Linked DNA regions of Mus musculus. The protein of the gene in region 2 purifies or fractionates together with the protein of the main gene of each other region. This does not show direct contact. Links are inferred from orthologs where the notes say so. Each region holds a gene or a part of one and is shown on either strand. Other genes may lie near its edges. The genes, in order: Pop1, Ifi204, Ftsj3, Pes1, Gnl3, Brix1 and Ebna1bp2.

Region 1 (3,500 bases), on a different chromosome or scaffold from region 2:
ATGCAACAGAAAGACATACCAGTTTAAGAGTTGGGTGAAGCCAGATCCACAGCTGCCTATCCTCAGAAGCATCCTCTGGGGTCATCCTAGACTTCCAGATGAAGGTAACCGGCCCAAGCATTTCCCTGGGATACTTATTTGCCCGGTAAAGCATGAGGCTCCCTTGCCGCTTCCCAGACAAGCAGTGAACTGCAGCAAAAGTCAGGCCTGGCACAAACATAAATGCAACAGCGAGACTGTGGGTGCTCACACAGAGCAGTATTATTCCTGAGAGCCATGCTTTAGCAACTGTCAGTCTCTGAGAGAAGCTTTGGTTCTGGCCAGAGTAAGTCCTCAAAAAATCTTTGTTAAATCAATGATTTAGTGAGTTTCAAGGTGTTTCTGCCTAAGTTTACTCCGGGAATAATGACTCACTTTACATAAGAATGTTATTAAAGATTTAAATATCAACTCAACCTTTCTTAAATTAACGTACTCACTGGGAATAAGAATATCTTACATTTCCATATTAAATCTGAACTGCTTAGTAGTGCTTATAACAGACATTTATTTACAAATGAACAGATACACAAAGATTAACACAGCACAAGCTGTTGAAATTACCTGCGTCTATGCTACACATTTGAGAGAGCGCTTTCAGTAGTTCTTCCTCTTTGCCTTTCAACTCCAAACAGCAGTAATATGATAAATCCTGAACAAAGGAGAGACATGTTTAAATATTCTAGGATCTGTTATGGGGTAAAAAAAAATGCTAAGAAGCCAGTGCTGTATCAGAAAACCTGTGGAGGAACACAGGAGAGATGGCTCAGAGGTTAAGAGCACAAACTATTCTTGTAGAGGACCCAAGTTCAATTCCCAGCTCCCACTTTGGGTGGTTCACAACTACCTCTAACTCCACGTCCAGAAGGGATCTGATCTAACATCTCCGACAACCAGAAAACCTGTTCTAAGAACAAAATCAATTACCGGAAGTCAGCTTTCAACAACTCAAAATCTAAAGCCTGCCTACTACTATTACATTAGCAGATAGTCTTAAGCCAATCTGAGTCAAAATCAAAATGCACCTTCATTTAATTTATCATATACAGTGCCCTACACTTTAGCAAGCTTATTGTGCTTCACTCTACTCTCACAGGCAAGTTCAAAATAGGCTATAAAAACTACTGCTTTTAAAAAAGGATTACTCATTATTCCTCAGATCTACAGAAGGTGAGAAGCCACAGTAAAGGAGTAAGACAAGAAGAAGTCCACAAAATTATGCTAAAAAAACCCCTGCTCACTTTGGCTAGCCACTGCAGCACCTCCGAGTGCAGTGCTAAGTTGGACATAAAGAACTAATCTGTCCATCTCCCTCCCATGCCAGTTAGAGTAAGCTATGCACAGGGCAAACTGAGAGGAAGCTGAGGAGAGACTGGACTGAGTATGAAGGAATCTCAAGAACTGTGCTGACTGCTACAGTCCTGAAGTTAACCATCAGTCCTGTTCTTATGTCCCAGGAGAGGGCACCAAGGCACCGGCACACTCATCTGTGCACTGCAGCCAGGACCAGTGCCCAAGCAACCCTCTCCACAGCACTCTGAAGTAAGTCCAGCCTGCTAAGCAGCAGGAACTGAAAATTACAGTGGTGATTTGAACAAGTCCCTATCAACCACTTCCATTATTGACACAGAAACCTTCCTGCCAACAATGGCTCCCTCTCAGTTATCAGATGGAGCTCACCCAAATTTATACAACTGGGTCACAACAAAGAAAAATGGTCAAAAGTCAGATGGCCTGAGCCCCAAGCTCAGGTTGTATGGGCGGAGGTAACTTAGTCTCCACATCTATAAAACAGGAACTGACTTCCTTAAGCTGTTGTTGTAAGGACTACTGATGAATGAACACATGTGAAGCATAAAATCAAGTGTTCTAGTCTAGCACTGACTAAAAAAGAATGGCATCCTGTCCCTCCTGGCATCCTGTCTCTTACACCCATCTATCTGACTAACAATTGGACATATGTGCCTCTCCCTTCACCTCCAGCACCCAGCAGGGTCCTTGTCTTCATCTGGAAGATGTGTAACATTACAGAAAAGACTGCTGCACCATGAACAAGCCTAAGACTTGGCACAGGGAAGGTTCTAAGTCCAGTAGCCTGGTGTACCTGCAGGAGGCAGAGGTTTGTCATGGCTCGATAGCAGGCTCGGTGGCTCTTGGCCGTGGGCCTCTCCCCAAGGCAGTAACCCCACTTCTTCACCATATGAAACCGTTTGGCGTGCCAGATGTGAGTCTCTAACCATATGTTCTTCTGTTGTCTGCGGTTAAATTCCAGAGTCCGGTTTATGTGACATCTTCGGGCTTTGTGGCATTTATTTTTTGAATGTTCTTTTTTCTGATGAGCAGCTTTCTCCGCCTACAGTTTAAAAAGGAAAGGCTGAACCCGAACCTTCTTTGTAAGCATCTCAGAGCACAGCGGAGCACTAGGATTCAATGACTAAGCATAAACAGATGGGGTGGAGACCTGACAGGCCCCTCTGCTTAGCTGGCTAGTTTGGAGTCTTCTCTCACATTGACTGAAGAGGGAGGCAATAGAAACTATTAAGATTTCAGAGGCAGGTAATCCTAGAAAGGAGACAAAGACCTAACACTTGCTAGCAGGACAAGCAGGCCTCATCCTTTATGGAGATACAACAGAGGCTGGAGCGATGGCTCAGTGTTTTACCACGCCTTGCTCTTACAAAAACCCAGGTTCAATTCCCAGCACCCATATGGTGGCTCAAAACCACCCATTACCTTTGTGGAAACACCAATTCATTCATTTCATTAGACTACAGACAGATAAATGCTAAATTCTGCTAGAAAACAGACTTCACAGTCAATCTAGAAAGTAAAAAATTTGCAGGGGGGCGTGGTGTGGGGGTGCAGAACACACCCTTGATCCCAGTACTCAGGAGGCAGAGGATAGCCTGGTCTGTAGAGTGAGTTCCAGGAGAGCCAAGGCTACACAGAAAAACCCTGTCTAAAAAAAACAAAAACAAAACAAAAGAGGATGTTTTACTCAGAATGGCAGTCCATGCCTGCAATCCAAGGTCATCCTTAGGTCCAAGTCAAACCCTGTCTCAAAAAAAAGAAGAGAAAGATAGAGGAGAGAGAAGAGAAGAGAAGAGAAGAGAAGAGAAGAGAAGAGAAGAGAAGAGAAGAGAAGAGAAGAGAAGGGAGAAGGGAAGGGAAGGGAAGGGAAGGGAAGGGAAGGGAAGGGAAGGGAAGGGAAGAGGATGTTTTACTCAGAATGGCAGTCCATGCCTGCAATCCAAGGTCATCCTTAGGTCCAAGTCAAACCCTGTCTCAAAAAAAAAAGAAGAGAAAGATAGAGGAGAGAGAAGAGAAGAGAAGAGAAGAGAAGAGAAGAGAAGAGAAGAGAAGAGAAGGTTCCTTGGGAAACCAGAGATCCTCTTGCCTCTGCCTCCTGAGCACCGGGATTAAAGGTCTACTAAAAGCAGCTATAATATCGCACTGCCTGC
Region 2 (3,500 bases):
AGCAGGATTCCCTCCTTGAGAAAGTATGCCTCCTCACTCAGTCTGCTGAGAGTGACAAAGATCCCAGGTTTCCTCACAGCTAGCAAGCTGGGAGCAGTCTCCTCATGCCATTTCTCTACAACTATAATAATTTGATTTCTTGAATTGCAGATTTCTTCCAGGAAGTGCTAGGACAATAAATGTTCTTCCTGTTTCCACTACTCTCTATTTCTCAACAGCCTGGGTTCCCAGCAAATTACCAGAGATCACTGGAATCAGAACTTTGGACAGGCCTCTTCCTTCTTTGATGCATCAAAAAGATATCTGTATATATCTAGTAAGTCTAGAAATCTAGTGAATCTAGAAAAGTAGGTTGATTTGCCTCCAAAATGTCATTTCATATAGTAGTTCTCAGTTGCTATGCTAATCAGAAATAACTCGTTAATAGAACAACACACAAGAATCTACACTAAATGCTTAAACCTACTATATGTAGAGATAGTCAATTCATTTTATTGAATGGTTTTGACTTGAAGAGTTTGCCATCTAATCTATATATAACTCCCAAATTGTCATAGTCAATATTTGCATTCGTTTAGGTAATTTTTTGAAATAGTCTCCAATTTATACTGCATTGAACATTACTCAAGCTATTACCCATAAATTTCTTTTTCTTGATAATTAATTCATTTTTTATTAAATTTTTGGTTTTGTTGTTGTTTGGAAACAAGGTTTCAAGTGACATTATTAAAAAAAAAACAAAAACAAAAACAAACAAACAAAAAAACAATCCTTGGTTTAATCCTCCTGCTGCTGACACAGTCTCCTCAGGTCTTCTTTTTTAATTTAATTTAATTTTATTTTATTTTTAATTAGGTACTTTCTTCATTCACATCTTCAGTGCTATCCCAAAAGTCCCCCACACCCTCCCCCACCCACCCACTCACACACTTCCTGGCCCTGGCATTCCCCTGCACTGAGGCAGATAAAGTCTGCACAACCAATGGGCCTCTCTTTCCACTGATGGCCGACCAGGCCATCCTCTGATACATATGCAGCTAGAGACACAAGCTCCGGGGGGCACTGGTTAGTTCATATTGTTGTTCCACCCATAGGATTGCAGATCCCCTCAGCTCCTAGGGTACTCTCTCTAGCTCCTCCATTGGGGTCCCTGTGATCCATCCAATAGCTTACTGTGAGCATCCACTTCTGTGTTTGCCAGGCCCCAGCATAGTCTCACAAGAGACAGCGATATCAGGGTCCTTTCAGCAAAATCTTGCTAGTGTATGCAATGGTGTCAGCGTTTGGAGGCTGATTACGGGTTGGATCCCTGGATATGGCAGTCTCTAGACGGTCCACCCCTTTGTCTCAGCTCCAAACTTCATCTCTGCGACTCCCTCCATGGGTGTTCCGCTCCCAATTCTAAGAAGGGGCAAAGCTTCCACACCCTGGTCTTCTTTCCTCCTGAGTCTCATGCGCTTTGCAAATTGTATCCTATATCTTGGGTATTCTAAGTTTCTGGGCTAATATCCACTTATCAGTGAGTATATATCATGTGAGTTCTTTTGTGATTGGGTTACCTCACTCAGGATGATGCCCTCCAGGTCCATCCATTTGCCTAGGAATTTCATAAATTCATTCTTTTTAATAGCTGAGTAGTACTCCATTGATGTTCATATGCTTAGTGTGAAAAGAGTATGCCATAAAACAATAGATTTTTTTCTATTTTAAATCTATCTATTTTTTTACACTCCAGATTTTTATCTCACCCACCCAATCCACCCTCTGATTTTTTAAAAGAGCTTTTGTTAAAAGACTACTAAAGAGCCATAAAGCTTCCAAGAGAAAGAAATGAATAAGTGTTGTATAGTTGCATAGAGCTTCAAATAGAAACTGTTAGCATGACACCAACCTGTGCCCTGTCACTTTCCTGCTCGCTGTGGCTGAGCATAAGTATTTGTAAGTAGTAAAAGGAAGTATCTTGTACACCATTTCCAGAGAGTTCTCTCAGATCTATCTTAGGGAATTGAGTGTTAAGAGATCACCCAATCTTATTCCCTAATCTATTTGATGATTTCTCTTTTTATCCCTAGACAAGGTAGAGTCTTGTGTTGCAATACTGTCATTAAGCACTAAATGAAAAATTATTATGGAAATTGTTTCCAGGTGTTGGTGTAGAAGGTTAAAAGACAAGTTTTCACACCTTACCTTGTGTAATGTAAACACTCCATAGAACACTGCTCCAGAAGTACCCTTTTGAATATCACAGATCTTAGGGCTGGCATTTGCATTTCTGATAATACTGTTGGGCACTTCAATCATTTGGTCAGGAGCAGCCTCTAACACAGAGGAAGTCTCATTGATCTCCAGGATGCCTTTGCTCTCAAAGTAATTGGATATGATGATAAAATTCTTTTTTGTGAACTTTTCTTTCAAGTTGATGTTGAAAACTTTCACATGGAAATACTGGCTCACTGTAGCCACTGTAGCATGAAGCATGTTCTTTACTTCATGTTCTGGTGATTCATATTCAAATGGGTCTGTTGCAGTGAGCACCATCACTGTCAGGGGCTCTGAGTGGAGAACAGCACCTCTGGGAATGTTCTGATTCTGGGGTTGTGATTTTTGGTTCTGTGTTGAACAAATACAGGGATATAAACATATGAGTTTAGCAGAAATACAAATTAACCTTTACATGAGACAAATCTCAATCTCAACATTGTTCCTAACAATTTTTATGAATTTGTAAAACTGAAGATAAGCTAAACAGGAATTCTTTAGTTGACCAAAAGGCCAATGAATTAAAGCAAGGGGCTCCATCCACTGACATTTAAACACTTTCACTGAAAAAAAAGAGTTACTTTCTAACATGAAGAAAAGTGTTGAATATAAATACAGCACATTCTTTGAGAATAATTTTATGGAGTACTTAAGTAGAAATATGATTAATTCAAATAAAATCTTTACACTATGTCCAAAGCAGATAAAAATGGAAAATTAAATGTTTTTGAAAATAGACAATAATTATAAAATATCATAAAGGTGTCAAAGGTCTTTAGTTACCATCGGACTCACTGTGGGTTATTTTGAGGATAGAAATCACAGTGTATCTCCACAAGGTGTAACAGTCTATCATTAAATGATCAAAAATACTAGCTGGCTCACAGCCCCTTCATTTAAATAGGCTCCAGTAGAGTTATTTTGTTAGAGACATGTCCTTAAACATGGATAGAGAGTTTTCCTGATCAGCAATGATTTGTGGAACCTGAGAGATATTGGTAGGATCTGATCTCTTTTCTGTATAGTGGTCTGAGCTCCCTGGATTTCAATAGAGTATTTGAATGGAGAGAAGATTCTCTAACTATGAGACAATCTGCAAAGTGTCAAAAAGCTATGAACTTCATAGATTTTGAGTTTATGGAGATAGTGTTTCTGTCTCCACAGACCCAATTGGATCTAATTTTTTGATCAGTGCAACCAATTCGCATAACATAAAAAAGTAAAGTAATACATTTAGTGGT
Region 3 (4,073 bases), on a different chromosome or scaffold from region 2:
CACACAAACAAAAAATCCTAACTAAACACTATTCCCATCAAAGAGATTATCAATCTACCTTACACAGCTTGGTACCTCCTGACTACAAAGGAGCTGGAGAGATGGCTCAGCAGTCAAGAGGGTTTCTTACTGCTTTTGCAGAGGGCCTGGGTTTAGTTCTCAGCACCTGTAGTAGCTCATAACTATTTGTACGTAACTCAAGTTTCAGGGGATCCACTGCCCTCTTCTGACTTGCACAGACATCTGTATATATGTGATACACATAAGCTTACGCAGGCATATATACATATACACATAAGAAACAGACAAGCAAAGAGCTGCAAACGAACAACATTGGAAAAGAACTCTTTGCTGCACTCCCAGTGGAAAAAGGACACAGAGAAATCTGCACCTACCAGCTCCCGTCCTCCACTAGCTCCCTTTGCTGTCTGTACTCACCTGGAGTTCTTCAATCTTGGACAGATAATATTGACGGAGTCCACTGCCTGCCTTCCCCTCTTCCAGTTCCATCTGAAGACAAGTGTAAGTGTTAAAAAAAAAAAAGAAGAAAAGAAAAGAAAAGAAAAAGAAAAGGCATAAAGTACTAAAGGGTAAAGCCAAAGTATTTTCGAGGCACTCTACCATATAGCTTAAGAAACAAGGTCAGGAAAATACCATTCCCTTTTCCTCAGAAACTGGTATCTCGATGGGCGAGGTCTGTGTGTTTGAACTTCGGAGGCTTAGTTCTTGGTTCTAAGCCTTCATTTCTGAATCCACTACAAGGATGCAATTACCGCCTACCTTCGAGGACTTTTAGGAGTCTCAAGGGGCCATATACCCACCGAGCGCACTGCCCTGTGGCTAGAGCTACACATCCCCAGGGTTTAACTACTACAGACAAAGGCAGAACAGAGGGACCAAGTCCAGGTCGAAGCCCAGGCCATTCCGGCTTGCCAGCTTCATTCAGTTTCCACCCACCCCTGTCCTGCTTTCCTCAGGGCGGCGCTGACACAGCAGATCCAGTCCCAGGCAGAGTCCGGTCTGACGTGATCCACCCACCCCTGATCCACTGGACCCTCTCGCTCGTGGCCACCCCTCACTTCAGATTTTGTGCACTCCACACTCAGCTTGGATGCCGCCCAGCCGCCGCGGCAGAATCCTTACCTGCTCTGGCCCATCAAGCGCCATCTTCCCTCTCTCGGCAGGGATCGCCGGCATCCAAGTCACTCTATCGCGCAGGCGCGGAGGCGAAAGCATGCGCCCTGGGTCACCACCGAGAACAGTTCCGGGTCAATGGGCGGGGTGTGTGGCGATACAAACACAGTGGCTGTATTAGTAGAGGCTCTACTGGAGGTCACTAGTTTTGTGAAGAGATATAGAACTTCTGGTTGATGCTTCCTAGCGTTTAGGATACGAGTTATTGCACTCTACTTCCTAGCCTCTACTTTTAACTTGTAAGGCCTGCTGACAAAAAAATTTTGGCCACACTCAAAATGGCGGAAATCATGACGCCAGGAATGTAGGAAACGCGCGCAGAAGCGGAAGTACGATTACTGCCTACATGTGCTGCTTCCTAAGAGTTGAAAACCTGCGGAGTTAAGGGCTATCTAACGTCTGGGTAAGTGATTGCTCCACCGCCTGAGGAACCGAAGCGAGATCCAGTGCTCGGAAAGACGATCTCACCTTTTTCTTTCTCCCCAGAGTGAGTGATACTCCCCCATCCCGCCATGGGCAAGAAAGGCAAAGTAGGCAAGAGCCGGCGGGACAAGTTCTATCACTTGGCCAAGGAGACTGGTGAGTGGGTTCGCGCTGAGGAACAACATCCCCGTCTTTTCGCTTCTTCTAGTCCCGAGTTCCTTTTCCTTCGAGGGGGTTATGGGATTGTGAGGCTTTCCTCCTGGGAAAGGCCTCCGTAGACGGTATTGCCTTATACACCCACTCTCCACGATCCAGGTTATCGTTCGCGCTCTGCCTTCAAACTGATCCAGCTCAATCGCCGCTTTCAGTTCCTGCAGAAAGCCCGGGCCTTGTTGGACCTGTGTGCTGCGCCTGGCGGATGGTAACGTTTGGCAGGGGCTGCTATGATGACACGTTCCTGGCACTGGTTGGCTTTGAGTTGCTTTTCGGGGAGGATGGGAATCCGATTACACAATTCAGATTAAATATTCCATAGTATGTGTCTCTCTCAAATTTTGGAAGGGAGCGTCATTTTCCCCCTCTTGTGGTACTGAACCTAAGGACTTAACTCATGCTAAGGACTTAACTCATGCTAGGCAGCCCCTCCACCACCGAGTTATATCTCCAATTGCTTTATTTTGAGACAGGGACGCTGAAAAATTGCCAAGGATGGCCTTGAACTTTTGGTCTTAATCTCTTGCCCTCCTTAGTGGCTGGTAATGCAGCCCTGTGTTGCCATGCCCAGCAGGTTGCTTCTTGAATGTATGCATAGACATTTGGCCACTACACTTAACAGGTGCCTCTTAAGGGGATGAGAAGTCACCTTGCCAAGGGAGGATGAAAGGTATTTAAATCTGTCTCTTTCACAGGCTGCAGGTGGCTGCCAAGTTTATGCCTGTATCCAGTCTTATTGTAGGTGGGTGACTCTTGGGTATTTGAGGGGGAGGGGTGGGTTAGGTACTAATTTTGTCCTACATCTTCCTCCACCCTGTAATACTGAGTTAACATCTTTTAGGAGTGGACCTCGTTCCAATCAAGCCTCTCCCCAATGTGGTGACTCTCCAGGAGGATATCACAACAGAACGCTGTAGGCAGGTAATAAGACCTCTCCTTCTTTTCTTTCCTCTTTATGTGCTGGTGTCATTGCCTACTTATTTATTTATTTAGTGTGTGTGGTCTTTCGAGACAGGGTTTCTCTGTGTAGCCCTGGCTGTCCTGGAACTCACTCTGTAGACCAGGCTGGCCTTGAACTCAGAAATCTGCCTGCCTCTGCCTCCCAAGTGCTGGGATTAAAGGGGTGTGCCACTAGTGCCTGGCTGTCATTGCCTCTGAAGAGTGAATGAAACACTTCCCAATTTACCATGGTTTCAAGCACGTGGCCAAAAAGACTGACAATCCTTGTGTACATTTCCATCTTTATTTACAATCAAGTGTTTTTGTTTTTCCCTGAGATAGAGTCTTGCTGTGTACTTTAGGATAGCTTCTAACTGTGTAGCCCACACTGATGTGGAGCTGAGTACATAGCCTAGTTTGGCCTTGATCTTGCAGTCTCTCTCCCTCTGCCTCTGGGATTGCAGTCGAGTGCCACCGTGCCTGGCAGGGATAGTACTGTGAATTGGTGGAAGGATGAGAGATCTATCTTCAGAAAAATTCTTTCCAGGGAACTAATTCTAAGCTTGGGGAAGATGTATATTTTTTGTTGCTGTTGCATCCCTAGTACCTGGTGCAGGATGTTGGCACTGGTGGGCGCTCAGTGCATGACTAGACAGATGACTGAACCAGAGTTCTGTTCTTAGCAGTTACTGTGTTTCCATTGCTAGAACCCCTTTACTTTCATTAGGCCCTGAGGAAGGAGCTGAAGACCTGGAAAGTTGATGTTGTGCTCAATGATGGGGCTCCCAATGTGGGGGCTAGTTGGGTCCATGACGCTTACTCCCAAGGTACAGGGAATGTGGGCTTGGAGGTGAGGGTGGAGGTAGCACATCGAAAGGCTGCAGAGGTTCCCTGACTGTTTCCGTCCTACAGCTCACCTAACTCTGATGGCTCTGCGTTTGGCTTGTGATTTTTTGGCCCGTGGTGGTTGTTTCATCACAAAAGTCTTTCGTTCCCGAGACTATCAGCCCTTGCTGTGGATCTTCCAGCAGCTGTTCCACCGTGTCCAGGCCACGAAGCCCCAAGCCTCTCGCCATGAATCTGCAGAAATCTTTGTAGTCTGTCAAGGTGAGACGTTATTCCTTCCTCTTGACACAACCTAATTATGAAAGCAAACTTTTATTTAATCTATCTTCTCCTTTTAGGATTCCTGGCTCCGGACAAGGTTGATGCTAAATTCTTTGATCCCAAGTTTGCCTTTAAGGAGGTTGAAGTTCAGGCTAAAACTGTTACTGAGTTGGTGACAAAGAAGAAGCCAAAGGTGG
Region 4 (3,500 bases), on a different chromosome or scaffold from region 2:
TTGGCATTCTTGAGCTGAGGGGCCTGTTGGCCCAGGCAAACAGGTATGACCAGTTTCAGAAAGCATTGAGAAGACCCTGCCCCATGTTCATCCTCCATAGAGGAGATGCTCAGAGGCCCTGGCCGAAGCCTCATTGGTCCCTTCTTCCAGGTGTTTGTTCGGAAGCTCCGCAAAGCCTATGGAAAGAGCGAATGGAATGCTGTGGAGCGCCTGAAGGACAATAAACCCTGCTACAAACTTGACCACATTGTCAAGGAGCGGTGAGTCCTGCACCTCAGAATGCTGCTGTTGCTGCTGAGTGCTGTCCTAGTGTTAGGGATGAAATGGGCTCAAGACCAGCACTTGACTGATAGTGCATGTCCTCTTAGAGGAGTTAGACCAAAAGCCAAGCTAGCAATCAGTCCTGATTGTAAGTAGCATTGGTTACAGTAAGGGTTGTAAGGCAGCATGGAGAGGGCTTAGGTGTATGGTACAATTGCATACTCAGAGAGGTGTCTGCAAAATGACCTATTTGGGGCAGCCAGGAATACACTTCATGAGCAGAGACAGCAGTACCTTCAAAGGCCCCATGGTGGAAGAGCTGGAGCCACTAGTTCCCATACTACAGACTTAGAAAGCATGGTAAGAGAGGTCTGGTCTTAACTGTTTCTTGCTCAGCCTTCCAAAGACCCCTCCCAGTCACTAGCTGATCAGTGACTTCTGCCTTTTCTGGGGAATTGGGCAAATGCCTGAAGACCCTTGTAGTTCCTACAGTTTGGATGGAAGCCAGCATTGGTGCTAAATATTCTTCAGTGTTCATAATAGTTTCCACAACACTTTGGCCTGGAACTAATTAAGTGTAGAACTACTAGGCTATTATCTCTGTTCTGTGCAGTGGTCTAGGCACACTTAGTTCCAGAATGAAGGGGCCTAGCTTCCTTCCTGGGATCTGGAGGGCCTTGGCCTGGAAGATAACAGTTGGTATCAGGAACTGGATGCCAGAGGACAGGAACTCCTGAGCAAGTACACGTTACTAACAGACATTTTGGTAGCTCCTGTCCTGCCTATGACATGACCTTTATATGGAAGAGATAGTGGGTGTGAATGAACCCAGAACAAGCACCTGGGTTCATTCACAAAGCAAAAAGTCTCCTTTACCAGAACCAAAGCCGGGTGGTCTAGAAGAGGCGTGTGCTTGACCTACAAAGGGCCTGGGGTGTTAGCTTTGTCTACAGAGTAGAAAGTTAGGAAACTTTGAGGCACCAAGGGGGCTGAAGAAGGATGCTTCCTCTGCCTCAGGAACCTAGGAAGCTGTCCCATCACCTGCCAGGTCCCTAAGGCTTCCCTTCATCTCTGCCTGCTTTTGAAGTCCTGGCAGCCCTCTCAGTTGTCGTAAGCAGTGTTGCCTGTGCCCTTCAGAGCCCTTTATAACATGGCAGGGCAATCTTAGTTGTTGTTGTTAAAGACAGGGTTTCTCTGGAGTTCTGGAACTTGCTCTGTAGACCATGCTGACCTAAAAAAATCTGCCCTGCCTCCCAAGTGCTGGAATTAAAGGTTTGAATGGTTTTTTGAGACAGGGTCTCACTAGCTCTGACTATCCTGAAATTCATTGGCCTCCAGCTCCCAGAGATCGCCCTCCCTCCCTCCCTCCCTCGCTCCCTCCTTCCCTCCCTCGCTCCCTCCCAAATGCTGGGATTAAAGGTGTGCTCCAGCACACCTGGAAAGACCTTTTCTCCCAGTGAGCCTTCCTAGACTGTGGTTTAGATGCTGGCAGCTCTGGGGATGCCGAGCTTGAGGAGGGAAACTGAGTCCTGCATATTTGTCTTTACTCGGTGTGTTTAGAGCCACAAGAGGTGGGTGGATTGGTGGTTTGATTTTTGAGATAAGATCTTATAGTGTAACCTAAGCTAGCCTGGAACTCAGGATACTTCTGCCTCAGTCTCCCAAGTGCCAGGACTGCAGGTGTGCACCACCACAGCTGCTTAAAGACACCGTATTTTAAGTCATTTTTGTTCAGCAGTGCCTTTTTCTAGATAAAGCTGGAGTTAGATGAGGCCTAGTGACCCAGTTAGGGTCACAGCTCAGTTCAGGTACCACGACTTGAGATGGAGTGTCTTTTGTGTCCCACACTTCTGTCCCTTTTTTTGGAAACCACCAAAGCAGTTGTGCTTTGACACCTTTTGAGACAGGTAAGACCCTATCTCAAAAAATCATTCAATCCCAGCACTCTTGCCCAAGTGATACTTTGTCTGCTTCTTCACTCACCACGGCGATCCTGGAAATCCGTGATTACTCTAACTGGACAGGGTCCCAGTTAGAGATGGATCTGTCAGATACATGCATCGGACTGCTGAGAAACGGGAAGACAAGACCACCCAGGTGCCAGTGCGCCTGGGGAAGGAAGCCCACTTTCCCTGGCCTACTAGGTCGACTTCCCGTTTTTCCTTTTTCTCTGTGGGCCTTTCCAGTTTCAAGTAGAGTCAAAGAGCCATCAACTTGGTGTCCTCGTTCACAGAAGGTAACATGGGGAAGGTTCCTGAGGTCCCAAGAGTTCACTGGAACTTTCTAGTTTTCAGTGGCTACAGGATTGTTTGCAGATGCATGGCCAGCTGTGGGAAAGTTGTTGCTATCACCATCTGAGGAAGTAGCTGTGGCAGTGCCTAGCTTGGGTGTCAAGGCCTCTGGATAGAGGGCCTTGGAACCCAATGGAGTGGGCATGAATGCTGCCCTCTCCACCCTGCAGGTACCCCACATTTATCGATGCTCTGCGGGACCTCGATGATGCCCTGTCAATGTGCTTCCTCTTCTCCACCTTCCCTCGGACTGGCAAGTGTCATGTGCAGACCATTCAGTTGTGCCGTAGGCTCACTGTGGAGTTCCTGCACTATGTCATCACTGCCCGAGCCCTGCGCAAGGTGAGCTGAGGCTCTTCTGGGGAGCCCTGGTCCTGCCCTGTCACTCCTTGGCTTTCATGCTGTTCTCCCTCCCTCCCCAGGTCTTCCTGTCCATTAAAGGCATTTATTATCAGGCTGAGGTGCTGGGTCAGCCCATCGTATGGATTGCACCCTATGCTTTCTCCCATGATGTAAGTGTGCCTGTTGGCAGGGCTTTGTGCTGTTTCCTGGAAAGGTGTTGGTGGGGTGCTGTCTTGGAGTCTAGCCCTTGCTTGGTTCCTGATTATTGGCAGCTACGCGTGATGAGAGCCAGGGACAGAATAGGGACTATGCTCTACAGCCCAGTCGGTCAATAACCCTGATCAGTCACAGTTCTCAGTGTGATATGAGCATAGACGCATAGGCTAAGCCTGACTGTCCACTCCAGCACCCCTGCTAGAGCAGTGCTTCTCAGCCTTCCCGACACTGCCATTCTTTAACAGGCTTCCTCATGCTGTGGTGACCCCAACCATAAAGTTATCTTTGTTGCTACTCCATAACTAAATTCACTGTTATAAATCATAATGTAAATATCTGATATGAATATGGTCTTAGGTTACCCACACATTGAGAACCGCTGTGCTAAAT
Region 5 (4,001 bases), on a different chromosome or scaffold from region 2:
TAATACAAGTATCAGCTTCTTACTCCCACTCTGGATAACAGCTTCTTCTATCTGAGGACACCTGCAACCAAGAGGATCTCTGGCATCCAAAACTTCTAACACAATGTCTGAGGCTTCAATCACCTGTCAAGTAAGAAACCATCAGAGCAGCAGTCCTTACTGAGTAGCACCCTCAACACTGACAGTGAATCCAGAAGATAGGATCTCCTGTATGCATTTCACTATCAAGTATGTTGACTGTTAAGTCTGGACATATAATCTACCCAATTGAGTCCTTAGGTTAACAGGCCTTTTTAGAAGGCAGGTAGGTGAGCTTGGGAAATGCATGCCTGAAATGGGGAGCTCTAGCAAGCAAGCACATTGGGAATCCACTGCCCACCCTTTAGACTCTGACTTCAACAGCGTTCTAAGAATTCCCTCTTTACAAAGCAGCTGTCAAGGACTAAGTTTTCAAAAATCTTAGATCATTTTTGACACTAACCTATACTAAGGTACCTTTTTAAGTTCCTGGCAATGTAACTTCTTTGGATTCTGTTTGCCTGCTTTGGCTTTCTTTCTTTTGGGCTCGTCAGATTCCTAAAAGGAAGAAAAATTAGAAACAGCAGTTGTTACCAGTATATCAACATTTCCCACAGATCACTACAGGCAATATATTTTAAATGGATGAGAAAGCCTACGTTTTGTTACTCCCAAGGAACGCAAGTTTTAAGGAAAGATAACCTTACCTCCCTAGTTTCCACATTAGACTGCTCATCACCAGGGCTAACTTCAAGTTTTCTTTTCCTTTCTTGCTCTTTTTGCCTATCAAGTTTCTGCTGCTGTTTTAGTTCTTCAAGCTGTGTCAGAGACGTGAAAGAGAGGAATGAGCGAGTGACTGGTGGCAGTGTATTGCTTTGGAAACCACATATATCATTCTACTGGAGCTTTCAGCCAGCAAAAATTACCTGCTGTTTCCTTAGTTCAGCTTCACGAAGAAGAGCCTCTTTAAAGGGAGCACTATTTGGAACACCTGGGTCCTTCCTAGGCTTCTTGTGACCCCGTTTTTTAGCTTCCTTCCTTAATTTTCGATGATGTTCTCGGACCTATTAAAAACAGCTCTATGAGGTCGGAAGGCACTTGCCTTGGTTCAATCCTCAGTATTAATACAAAAGAAACAACTCGCCCTACAAAAATACATAAGCACTGAGAACTTAGGGAACAAGCCAGCCTATCCGCAATTTATAATGGATGTGAAGCACCCTAGAAAAGCAGAACTTCAACTGGAACTATACAGGGAATTAACATGTACACAAAAAACAGAAAAGTGTTGCAGCTCTCTGTAAAGATGCCAGTGTGCTAGCTTGAGGCTTTCGTTTACCCTGTACTTTCCCACAGCTGCAGTCTGTCCAATCCTATACCATGACAAGAGCCTTCCCCACAGAGATGAAGAAAGCCATGTTAGCACCCCACTTGCTATGGGCCTCACAGAACACTTACCTTTTTTTGAATTTTATATCGCTTATGGCAGGTCATACGTTTACTCGCTTTCTTTAACTCTGCCAAAACAAAGAAAGAGAAAGACTGCACACATGAGCAGTGAGTGTTTTAAATTTCTCACATCACCTATATGGATGTTTTGCCCTCTCTTGTCAGCAGACCAACCACGTGCATGTAGTGTTCTTGCAAAGGAAGCCACAAGAGGGCTTCATCACTTGTCCTTCTACAGACAGCATGGAGCTGCCACGTGGGCTGGGACAACCCTGGGTCTTCACTCCATACCCAAAATGTTTCATTTACTTATTTTGTGTGTAGGTCTGAAAGCAATTTCCAGGAGTCAGTTCTACCTATCATATGAGTTTGAACTCTTGACAGTAAGGCTTAGTGGCAAGTGTTTATAGCCATATTCCTGGCCCTCAAGAGATTGTTTTATCAGGCCATGGGGGCCTACAACAATAAGGCTATCCCGGGCAACATAGATCTTGCCTCAACCGTCCCTGCAAAGTTATGCAGGGTATTTAATGGAAATCACACCACAACGCCAGTCAATTCGACTCGGTGGACCCACAATGGAAGCAGCTTCTAGAGGAAAGCACTACAAATATCAAGGTTTCTTTCTTTATTTTTATTTTTTCGAGACAGGGTTTCTCTGTGTAGCCCTGGCTGTCCTGGTAGACCAGGCTGGCCTCGATCTCAGAAATTCGCCTGCCTCTGCCTCCCAAGTGCTGGGATTAAAGGCGTGCGCCAACACGGCCAGGCTCTTTTTTTAATTTTTAAGCCATGGTTTCAGTATACAGCCCAGGCTGGCTGCAAACTTTCTATCTTACTGCGTCATCCTTCGTGTACATGATTAGGGCGCGTGCCACCAAGGCCGAAAGACCATGGTTCTGAATAGTTCTAGGAAAACGGCAGGCTCGAAAAGAGGCTCAAACACGTTAATCACAGAAATCTGGCTCGGTTTTCCTCTCAAGGGCTTAGCTCTCCTGCTATACAACAGGCCAAATTTGGGTCTGGGCCTTCTAAGCATCAGATCTACGCGGAACTCATCAATGGCCTATGGAGAGTCCTCTCCCTCCAGCCACAAAGCACCACCCGCGCGTTTCGCTCCCGACCCCACTCACTAGGCCTCTTCATCCTGGCCGCGGACGCTTCAGGAGCAGAGGAGGTCTCGGGATCACCACGACTTCTCGGGCGCCACGTGCGAACTGGAACTGCGGTTCAACGTCACGCGCTCCAGGACCTGCCGGAAAGTGTGTCGGGGCCGGGCCGAGTGCGCGCGCACACACATACACTGTCGCGCCGAGCCGGGCTCGCCTGGCGGCCACAGGTTGGATTTACGGCAGCACTGGGAGGGGTGAGGGCGGTGAGGGCGGCGGGTGCCGGAGAGACGGCCGCGGCCAGAGGAGCGCTAGCAGCCGTGGCGGCCACGGGGCGGGGCTCGGCGGTCGGGGACCGCAGCCGGGGCTGCAGGCGGCGGAGCGGCGGGGTAAGGCCGGGCCCGGGGCGGGCGGGGCCGCCCCTCCTCGGCCGGCTGCCGGGCCTTTGTGTCGGCCCGGGCGGGCGGGCGGGCGGGCGGGAGTCGCGGCGGAGGCCCCGCCCCGTGGTGCGGACGCGCTGGTCGGGCAGGGCGCGGGGCGGGGCGCGGCACGGCACGGCGGCGGGGCCTCGGGACAGGGCCCAGCAGCCCGGCCGCACCTGCCGCCGGGACAAAGGCAGAGCAGGGCCCGGAAACTCCCTTCGCTGCTCTTTCCCGCCCGTCGCGGGCCGCCTTCAAAGCTGTCAACGTTTCCTTTAGCCCCAGAACCAGTGACAGGTCGGGCGAACTCTTCTTTTCCTCCGCCTCTCAAGGCCTCTTTTTTTTTTTTTTTTTTTTTTTTTTTTTTTTTTTTTTTTTGGTTTCTTGTGCGTTCGGCAAAAAACTCCCTATTGAGTTTTTGTTTTTGTTTTTTTCTTTCCCAATGATCGCCCAAACGGAATATTTTTTTGTTTTTGTCAGAGAGACTTACTTATTTACAGGCTAGGTACTTAAGCTTCTCATTTGTACCGTCACGACGAGTTGAGTTTTTGTAAACTGTATTTTCTGGTTTTAAAAGTATTTTCCGTTTCAAAATTTTGTTTTCTGAAGAAGTGAGTCTTATTTTAAGAAAATTTGATATCAAAGGGGGGACAAAAATATAAAATTCCTGGAAAACAAATGACAAATACACAATAGACCGGATGTAGGAATTCGAGGACTAACTATAGAAGCGTATGGTGGAATATGCTATCTTAATCCAAACTTTTCAAAACTTACTGTAGGAGCCAGGCACAGTAGAAAACACCTGTTCTAGCTCTTGAGTTGGGAGTATCGCAAGTTCCAGTGTACTTGGGTTACATAGTGAGACCTGCCATTAAAACAAAAAAGTGGTTATACGTTTCTTTCTTAACCCATTTGGTAGTAGGCTTTTCCCCCCAAAGTAATTCAGAAGCATATTGGATTCCAGATGTTGAGGAACATAGCTTTTGCTTTAGTAGTTTTTAAGATC
Region 6 (4,136 bases), on a different chromosome or scaffold from region 2:
CAGTTCTGGGGACTAAACTCAGATCTACTTCACTAAGCTGTCCCCGAAACCCTTGTGTTGGGGTTCTTTGCCTGACAAAGCCGAGCAAACAAGTAAGTATGTAATATACGGTAAGCAGGCTTATACACACACAGTTTAAAGCCCGATATTAAAGTACCTGCTTTAGAATGAGGCATCAACATTCTCAAGTCCTGCATTAAGTGTCTTGTTCTGAAATTTATTCCTCTGGAAGAAAAGATGAGGATCCGTTCCTTATTTTTCCATTTGCCCTGAAGAAAAGAAAACCTTAGAGCTTAACATTTTGTGCTGAACATACTTGGTGTGTTTCTGACAGTCGTCAAGTCTCCAATCTCTGGCATCACTGGTATACCTCTATGTAGTCCCAGCTAGGGAGGCTGAAGCAGGAGGAGCACTTGAACCAGGAAACTGAGGCTATCCTGGGAATACAGACAACTGTCCGCAACTGAGAAACATTAAAACAAAACAAAACAAACCACTTTTCAACTGCCCCTCACCACCATAAGGATCTTTTCTTAGCACCCTTTCATTTTTAACTTTTTATTGGTCTCCATTACAGTACCTATGTTCATTTCCAGGTTTTTTTTTTCTGTGTTTGTTTTTTGTTTTGGATTTTTGAGACATGGTTTCTCTGTATAGCCCTGGCTATCCTGGACCTCACTCTGTAGACCAGGCTGGCCTTGAACCCAGAAATCCACCTGCCTCTGCCTCCCGAGTGCTGGGATTAAAGGCGTACGCCATCAGTGCCTGGCTTCATTTCCAGTTTTAACCATGTACAGAAGGGTAAGAAGTCTCTCTAGCTCTAGTAATGCATGCACTAAAGTAAAGCTTCAAGCTCGTCTGTGTAACACAAACCTTTACCAAATTTAAATCTAGCATATTTCCTTACCAACATTCCTTTCTCCTCTCCTGTCCTTCCATCTTTCTGCTACTTCATTTCAGTTCCTCATGCTCTGAAGACCCCTTTACCTCTAGTTTCTCTCTCTCTCTCTCTCTCTCTCTCTCTCTCTCTCTCTCTCTCTCTCTCTCTCTCTCTATTTTTCAAGACAGGGTTTCTCTGTGTAGCCCTGGCTGTCCTGGAACTTGGATTCAGAAATCTGCCTGCCTCTTCCTCCCGAGTGCTGGGATTAAAGGAGTGTGCCACCACGCCCAGCTGTCTCTAGTTTCTTATATAGACATCATAAGCACTACTAAATCGGTACCTCCTTACAACAATTTATAACGCTTACAAGTGTCCTCAAATCCCTGTGACTGATTATCAGCTGCGAAGCTCTTGGATGTCTGGCTTGCCCAGACAGAATCACCGCTGACAGCCAACTAGCCCCAATTTAATCTTGGTTTCCAAACCTCAAAATGTCAAATACCCTCTATACTACATGTTCACTGTTTACACCTCCACTGCCCAACACTGACCCTGCACATTCTCAGCTAACCAGCTGAGTTTAGAATTTCTAAACCCCCATTTAATGCCGTTGATGAATTTTTTCCACCACCCCCCCCCCCTGTCTTTCTAAATACATAAATTTAAGCCTTTCTTTGAAATTCAGCTAAAAGTTACTATTAGGGTGTTTCCTTACCACCCTAATAGTAGTAATTGTCTCATTAATTCCAATTCATATATCATAGTGTGATTCAGATTAGTTCCCTTCATGTTTCATGTCCAGCTCCTAAGAGGGAGCGCACTAACTTTTATTGAAAACCAGCTAATTTTCCTCAAAAGTCACTTTTATCCTTTCAGACAAAGGTACAAGATTTAACTGTTAATTAAAAGTGGGGTACAATGTCCACATTGCCTCACTCAGTACTTGAGTACTACACTAAGCACAAAGGACTAACAAGTCTGAGGCAAGATTTCCTCCATACAGATACCTTCCTTAAGGAGTTTCCAGGTGACTGAAAGTAACTCCAACAAGAACCTGCTGGCCTTTAGAAGAGACACACAGTTTTCTATGAAGCCTTCTTTCCTTCTAAACTCCAATATTTCTGGAGGAACTCTTGTTCATTATTTCCTAGATGCTAAGGCCAGGGAAGCTCATCTTGGTATAAGTGTGTCGCACTGTTTGACACAGTAAAACTAGTGGTCTAGGACCCTTGAGTTAAAAGATCTAACCAAACAAGTCAGAGTCACAGACTCACAGGACTGTAGCTTTAAAGGCTTGGCAAATAAATAAATAAATACATACATACATACATACATACTTCGGTAATCCTATGTGATACGGACCAAAACAGAAGGAATTTATAGTTACACCAAAAAGACTCTGAGAAAAAAAAAAAAAAAAGACAAAGGAAAACCATTACTCTGGGGAGGCGGGGTGGGGGTCAGTAACTGGAAGACAAGGATCCTGGAACTAAACACCCATTAAATCAACTCCCTGTTAACTGGCTTAGGGTCTACGAACTGCTGTCTCCAGGAAGAAGGCCATCTACACGAAAATTAGACATAAACACTGTCCAGTCCCTCCAGGGAACCCTAAGCATAAGATCCTGTCAAGTTTTGACTGGAGTCACTTCGCTGCTTCGGTGGCCCAAAGGTGGGTCAGAGCGCCGACTCCAACTTCGGGAGTCGGGCCTCTTACCTTGCAAACCGGACCTGGAATACGATCTCTATTTTCCTCCTCCGCCTCTTTGGCCACATCGGCCTGCTTAGCTGGCTGCCCGGCATCTTTCGAGCTCCTTTTTGGCTTCTTCGCTTGAACCTCCAAGCCTCCACGCCGCTTTCTCTTGGTCGCCGCCATCTCGCCTCGCCGCGTCGGTCGCTGCCTGCACTTCCGGTTCTGCCGCTCGCTCTGCCTTCCGATCTCTATGGTAGCCCACGTTAGGCTGTGAGTTAAGTCATCCGGCTCCAAGGCGCTCGCTTCCGGTCTCGAGGTAGACTCTCTAGGCACACGGCGGCTCGGTGGTGACGGTGGCCTAGGTGGTTGCGTATCTGAACGGTGGCGGGAGCTGTTTGCCTGGCTTGCTAGCTTTTTGGACGCTCAGGGTGTTCTTGGGGCTGGGGTGGCAGGGGCTTTGAGGGGTCGGACGTCACCCACAGCCTGGCGCCAGGGGCTCCCTTAGTGGCCGCTGTGCGGCGAGCGGGCCGAAGTCGCGTTCTCCTGCAAGCCAGGTTGGTGGCGCTCAGAGGTGCTAAGCAAGCCCGGTTACCCGCGCCTTTTAGAGCTACCCTGTGAACTGCATTCAGTGTAGAATACCGTAGTTTTGAGACATGAAAATAGAATGATCTCGATTTCGGCTCGGGTTGAGGTCGCCAGTCCTGTCCGCACTGATAGCGAGGTTTGTTGTTCCGTGTCTCAGGTTTTCACACATCTTCCGGAAGAGGAGCATCCTTCTTCTCGGAGCCGACGGTACCGTGGACCATCCATGCCTCTCCTAACCCAGTACAATGAAGAGGAGTACGAACAGTACTGCTTAGTGGCCAGCCTTGACAACGTTAGGAATCTCTCCACTGTCTTGAAAGCCATTCATTTCAGAGAACACGCCACGTGTTTTGCTACCAAAAACGGAATCAAGGTTACAGTGGAGAATGCAAAGTGTGTGCAAGCAAATGCCTTTATTCAGGTATGGGGGAGTGAAGACATTTTTAAAGCATTCCCTAATGAATGAATTTGGAAGGACTTAATTCAACAAAACTCAAGTTAGTGAACAAAATGTCGTTACTTTTTTTTCTTTCCTGCCAACAAATACTTTCCCCATCTTGTCTCACACAGATAACGATTACTAGTGATAGTTTATTAATGACTCTTCTCACCATTTTCCTCTTTTAATCTTTACACATATAGACACTTTCTCGTTTGACATAGTGGCACCAGATTTAATTTTCAGTAGTCTTACAACTGATTGAATTAGGGCGAGAACCCTATTTACTCTTTACAGTATTATTGTCATGCACGTTTTAGTTTTTCCTCTTATTGGCTGTAATTTTTCCTCGGAGCATTTTCCCCCGGAGATAGAGTCTAACATGTAACCCTGGTTACCTGGAACTTGGTTTATAGACCAGACTGGCTTCAAGTTCTTGGAGATCCGCCTGCTTCTGCCTTGCCTCTGCCTCCCAAGTGCTGGGATTAAAGGCATGTACCACCACTGCCTGACACTGAATTATCCTATCCTTAAGTGAC
Region 7 (3,999 bases), on a different chromosome or scaffold from region 2:
CACAAAGTCAGCCCTGCATCCCAAACCATCACTCTAGAGACTGCAGCTCAGCCACTGCTACCACACTATGCTGGATACACCCAGGTGTGCCACGGTGGCGAGTGAACCTGTGCTCAGGGACACCAGCAGACACTTTACCAGGAACCCCAGCACAGTCTGCCCTGGCGCACCCGGCCCTGCCCGGCCCACGCAGGTGCTCTTTCTTTCTCACCTTCTTTCCATATTTCCTAAGCGCTCGAAGTTGCTTGGCCTTTTCAGATTTCTCCATGGCGGCCTGTTTAGTCTGCAGCTTCTGTCGAATCTAAAACGCAGAGAGTTGTTAGGCACTATTTGGAGCACACTAGAATGGAGCGCCAGTGTCTGACTAGCTCTGAACGCTGTGGAACTCATTTACTGTCCTAGATTTCCAAATTAAAACAATACGGTCCCAAAGCTGAGCCTGGCACCAAAAGTGTCCATGGGCTGAAGGAGCTTAAACACGACCCTGACTCTCTAAGGCACAAAGCTGCCTACTTATCATACAGGACCTGCTGTTTCTCCACAGATTAAGGCAAAACTGCAGCATTCTAATGGCCCACATCTGTAATAGTTCCTGCACACTCGTACCTCACCTCTTCCATCACACACACACACACACTCACACACACATTGTACTGAAAGTGCTAAGTAGTTATGTGTGTGACTGTCAGATGTAGATGGATCTGTGCTTGTCTCAGGATTGGCCTCTTGAGGTACCACCTGTAATTCTCTAGGCCAAAGACTGAGACCAAAGGAACAATTTTAAATACATCCTGGATGTGACGTCAAGGTTTTTTTCCTCCCAAAGTTAAGTGAAGATCAAATCCCCCAACTCTAAGTCACACCACATCTGAGTTATCCGTCAAGTCTTCCATTTCTAAAAAGCTAAAGGGCCAGAGAGGAAAACCCCATCTAGAAGCAACAGTAATCTCCTTGGCATTGCTGGGCCAGAACTCTAAGACTGTTGTGTCTGTCCACTCCACTCACTCTGACAGGGAAGAAATACGCAAACCCCCAACTCTAAGTCACACCACATCTGAGTTATCCGTCAAGTCTTCCATTTCTAAAAAGCTAAAGGGCCAGAGAGGAAAACCCCATCTAGAAGCAACAGTAATCTCCTTGGCATTGCTGGGCCAGAACTCTAAGACTGTTGTGTCTGTCCACTCCACTCACTCTGACAGGGAAGAAATACGCAAGCTTCTTTTCGTAGGGCCCATACTTCTCCAGACCGTCTCTCTCTAATTTGCCTAGGCGACTGGCATGGCTCTGAAGCAGAGACTGTTGAAATACTGGCTACAAACACCACACATCTTTTTTTTTTTTTGAAGACTACAGGAATGACCCAGCTGAACAAATGAAACCTTGGCTTTCCAGAAGAAAAACCTACCTTTTGCATCTGCTGATCAGACTTGGCCATTTCTGCAAAATAATCGGTGGGCCTCTTCGTAGGGACTTGGAGCTGATGGAGTCGGGGTAATACCGCAAGCACTGCTGCCTGGGCCTGCCGGTAGCTGACATTACAGGACAGGGTGTAATGAGGGGAGGGGAAGGGCGCTCATGTCTTCTTACTGCCTCTCAGAAGTTACCTAACCTCAGAGCTATCACATCCCACCAGCACTGGCAAGATAAGACAGACACACCAACTAAAACTCCACTGATTGCACATATAACTGAAATCTCACTTTATGTTTATTTACGAGGGGAAAATACTTCCAAGAGCAAGTCAGTTTAAAACAACGAGCTTATTAAATACTGCGCAGACTATGAACTGTTTCCCAATCATTACAGAAAGAGCACTCATAACATTCCCTAGGCAAAGTGTGTTCTAATGATTGGAGGCACCCACACAAGCTTCAAATGAATTATTCTGAAACATCCCTCGAGCAGGGTTCTGGTTAAACGGCGACCAAGAACCTATTCTTTCCACCAGAGGAACCCGCTAGATCCACTCGCACGCTCGTGCTAACCCCGCCCAGTGCCTCTGAGGTTGCAGACACACTAAGACCCCCTTCCTGTAACTCCATCGCAGGACCCATAACAAACATACAAACTCATTTCCCTCTGGAAGTCGTCTTCTGGATTAACGCCTTTCTTCTGGTCCTGGTTCTGAGGTGTTGGCTGAGTCTCACTGACTTCTGGCACTGGACCCAGGGTCACATCGAGCCTTTCAACCCACTCCAGATCCCGTCTGAATTCAGCCAAGCACTGTTTCAGGCCACTCTAGGTTAAGTCAGACAAGGCGCTCATGAGAACCGCGAGTTTGACTCTCAGAAACCCAAAGTCCTATGCTCAAATATCCGCACAGGATGACGACCGCAGCGCAGGGTGCATCTTTCCCACCAGAATCGGTCTCCCAAGAGGCACAGCGCTTGTGCGCATCCTGTTCCAAGGACCCCGACCCTCGCACGAGCTCACCACGTCATTCACTGCCTTCTTCGGCTTCTCTAGCACGACATTGAGACCTGGCTTCAGGAGTCCGCGGGAAAACGCATCCTGCAACTACAGACCGGGGAGCCTCAGTACCAAAGAGCTAAATAAAGTCCCCGTCCCAGCCCCTGCCCCGCTAGCTCCGCTGCGGCCTACCTCTTGATCTGAGGCCAGGCACGCATCCGACTCCGAGTCCGACTCTGAAAGCGGAGGGGTGTCCATCTCGCGGCCTTCCGCCCCGCGAGGTTCGGCTGCCACTCCACGTGCCCACAAGCAGCACCACCGCCAACAAATTCTCCACAAGCCTCTGCCTTTTCAACAGGGACTTCCGCTTCCGGGTTCATAGCCGCACTTCCGGTTTTCTCGTTGCTATAGGAACTGCTCTAGCGTTTGGGCGTGCCCGGATTGCTTCGGATCTTTAGGAAGAGCACCTACTGATCCCTACGTAGTCTAGTAACCCAGAGCCGTGAAGCAAGAGGTAAATAGTTTCTTTGGGGTCCTCCTAAGGATCTGAGGGCGGTGGGAGTGCAGGAGAGGAAGGAAAGGCTCGGAAAGAGCCCCGGGGGTGGGGTGGAAAGGAAGAGGAGCCTAGGGGCGGGGCGATGGAGGGGCGAGGCGGGGTCAGGGAGGGGCGGGCCGGGGCCATGGGCGGGGCGGGGCGGGGCAGGAAAGGGAGATGCGCTGCTCGGCTTCACTCCCACCTACTTGCCTCTTTCTTCATCTTTTGCAATACTTTTTGACAGGTACCATGTCCACCGTGGTAGCTCAGGCGCTTCATGTTTTTGGTCTTCGGCCTCACGTGACCAACAATGTCTTCTTCTTCGATGAACAGATCATTATATTTCCTTCAGGAAATCACTGTGTGAAGTACAATATAGATCAGAAATGGCAAAAATTCATTGCAGGTAAAAAAGAAAAAAAGAAACCACCTTTTCCATTCTGACACATACATTAAAGGCATGTGCTACACAAAACCGCACAATCTCAACGATTGGGAAGATTTTTTTTTGATAACTGGGTTATCCACATATTTTTATAAATGTAAACAAAATAAATGGCCATTTACACTACTTAATCATAGATTAACGTGACACAAGTAGCCAAAATGACAGGTAAAATAACACACGTTTTAAAAGTACTTTTCCACAATGACTCCAGAGAAGAGTTACTTTAAACAGTGTTTTTCTTGTATTCTCCTGCAGTTGTGTTTGTCCTCACCAGAACCTTCTTTTGAGTCTAACGGTTTTGAGAGTACATGACCTTCATTGAACCCATGTCTGATGGAGACGCTGAAATTTTTATCTTAAGTGACAAATAACCTTTTAACATTTTTTTTTTTTTTGGTTTTTCGAGACAGAGTTTCTCTGTGTAGCCCTGACTGTCCTGGAACTCACTCTGTAGACCAGGCTGGCCTCGAACTCAGAAATCTGCCTGCCTCTGCCTCCCAAGTGCTGGGATTAAAGGTGTATGCCACCACTGCCCGGATTATTTACTTATTTTAAAGAGTTATGTATACAGTTTTCTGCCTGAATGTATACCTGCAGGCCAGAAGAG

Evidence for each region.
Region 1: the proteins of Ifi204 (region 2) and Pop1 purify together in Homo sapiens (affinity purification with mass spectrometry; 3 studies listed by BioGRID and IntAct, with this or other methods). This does not show direct contact. The link is inferred for Mus musculus from reciprocal best matches to the Homo sapiens genes IFI16 and POP1.
Region 3: the proteins of Ifi204 (region 2) and Ftsj3 purify together in Homo sapiens (affinity purification with mass spectrometry; 3 studies listed by BioGRID and IntAct, with this or other methods). This does not show direct contact. The link is inferred for Mus musculus from reciprocal best matches to the Homo sapiens genes IFI16 and FTSJ3.
Region 4: the proteins of Ifi204 (region 2) and Pes1 purify together in Homo sapiens (affinity purification with mass spectrometry; 3 studies listed by BioGRID and IntAct, with this or other methods). This does not show direct contact. The link is inferred for Mus musculus from reciprocal best matches to the Homo sapiens genes IFI16 and PES1.
Region 5: the proteins of Ifi204 (region 2) and Gnl3 purify together in Homo sapiens (affinity purification with mass spectrometry; 3 studies listed by BioGRID and IntAct, with this or other methods). This does not show direct contact. The link is inferred for Mus musculus from reciprocal best matches to the Homo sapiens genes IFI16 and GNL3.
Region 6: the proteins of Ifi204 (region 2) and Brix1 purify together in Homo sapiens (affinity purification with mass spectrometry; 3 studies listed by BioGRID and IntAct, with this or other methods). This does not show direct contact. The link is inferred for Mus musculus from reciprocal best matches to the Homo sapiens genes IFI16 and BRIX1.
Region 7: the proteins of Ifi204 (region 2) and Ebna1bp2 purify together in Homo sapiens (affinity purification with mass spectrometry; 3 studies listed by BioGRID and IntAct, with this or other methods). This does not show direct contact. The link is inferred for Mus musculus from reciprocal best matches to the Homo sapiens genes IFI16 and EBNA1BP2.

The regions. Positions count from the first base shown.
Region 1 is NC_000081.6:34,505,311-34,508,810, reverse strand, and holds part of Pop1 (ribonucleases P/MRP protein subunit POP1), read right to left. Parts: intron 2,393-3,500; coding exon 2,144-2,392; intron 692-2,143; coding exon 604-691; intron 208-603; coding exon 20-207; intron 1-19. UniProt on the Homo sapiens protein: Component of ribonuclease P, a ribonucleoprotein complex that generates mature tRNA molecules by cleaving their 5'-ends. Also a component of the MRP ribonuclease complex, which cleaves pre-rRNA sequences.
Region 2 is NC_000067.6:173,753,420-173,756,919, forward strand, and holds part of Ifi204 (interferon-activable protein 204), read right to left. Parts: intron 2,611-3,500; coding exon 2,188-2,610; intron 1-2,187.
Region 3 is NC_000077.6:106,253,285-106,257,357, reverse strand, and holds the start of Ftsj3 (pre-rRNA 2'-O-ribose RNA methyltransferase FTSJ3), read left to right. Parts: upstream 1-1,273; 5' UTR 1,274-1,597; intron 1,598-1,680; 5' UTR 1,681-1,706; coding exon 1,707-1,773; intron 1,774-1,932; coding exon 1,933-2,038; intron 2,039-2,525; coding exon 2,526-2,572; intron 2,573-2,671; coding exon 2,672-2,751; intron 2,752-3,496; coding exon 3,497-3,596; intron 3,597-3,681; coding exon 3,682-3,876; intron 3,877-3,953; coding exon 3,954-4,069; intron 4,070-4,073. Other genes in the region: Psmc5 (26S proteasome regulatory subunit 8), read right to left, coding at 439-510, 1,144-1,167.
Region 4 is NC_000077.6:3,970,475-3,973,974, forward strand, and holds part of Pes1 (pescadillo homolog), read left to right. Parts: intron 1-150; coding exon 151-260; intron 261-2,722; coding exon 2,723-2,894; intron 2,895-2,974; coding exon 2,975-3,064; intron 3,065-3,500. UniProt on the Homo sapiens protein: Component of the PeBoW complex, which is required for maturation of 28S and 5.8S ribosomal RNAs and formation of the 60S ribosome.
Region 5 is NC_000080.6:31,016,332-31,020,332, forward strand, and holds the start of Gnl3 (guanine nucleotide-binding protein-like 3), read right to left. Parts: upstream 2,801-4,001; 5' UTR 2,611-2,800; coding exon 2,598-2,610; intron 1,536-2,597; coding exon 1,477-1,535; intron 1,083-1,476; coding exon 945-1,082; intron 837-944; coding exon 726-836; intron 577-725; coding exon 496-576; exon of another isoform or gene 482-495; intron 124-481; coding exon 1-123. UniProt on the Homo sapiens protein: May be required to maintain the proliferative capacity of stem cells. Stabilizes MDM2 by preventing its ubiquitination, and hence proteasomal degradation.
Region 6 is NC_000081.6:10,483,138-10,487,273, forward strand, and holds the start of Brix1 (ribosome biogenesis protein BRX1 homolog), read right to left. Parts: upstream 2,801-4,136; 5' UTR 2,757-2,800; coding exon 2,598-2,756; intron 270-2,597; coding exon 158-269; intron 1-157. Other genes in the region: cell cycle checkpoint protein RAD1, read left to right, coding at 3,382-3,579. UniProt on the Homo sapiens protein: Required for biogenesis of the 60S ribosomal subunit.
Region 7 is NC_000070.6:118,619,600-118,623,598, reverse strand, and holds the start of Ebna1bp2 (probable rRNA-processing protein EBP2), read right to left. Parts: upstream 2,801-3,999; 5' UTR 2,668-2,800; coding exon 2,602-2,667; intron 2,518-2,601; coding exon 2,434-2,517; intron 2,239-2,433; coding exon 2,066-2,238; intron 1,530-2,065; coding exon 1,406-1,529; intron 302-1,405; coding exon 212-301; intron 1-211. Other genes in the region: Cfap57 (cilia- and flagella-associated protein 57), read left to right, coding at 3,194-3,350. UniProt on the Homo sapiens protein: Required for the processing of the 27S pre-rRNA.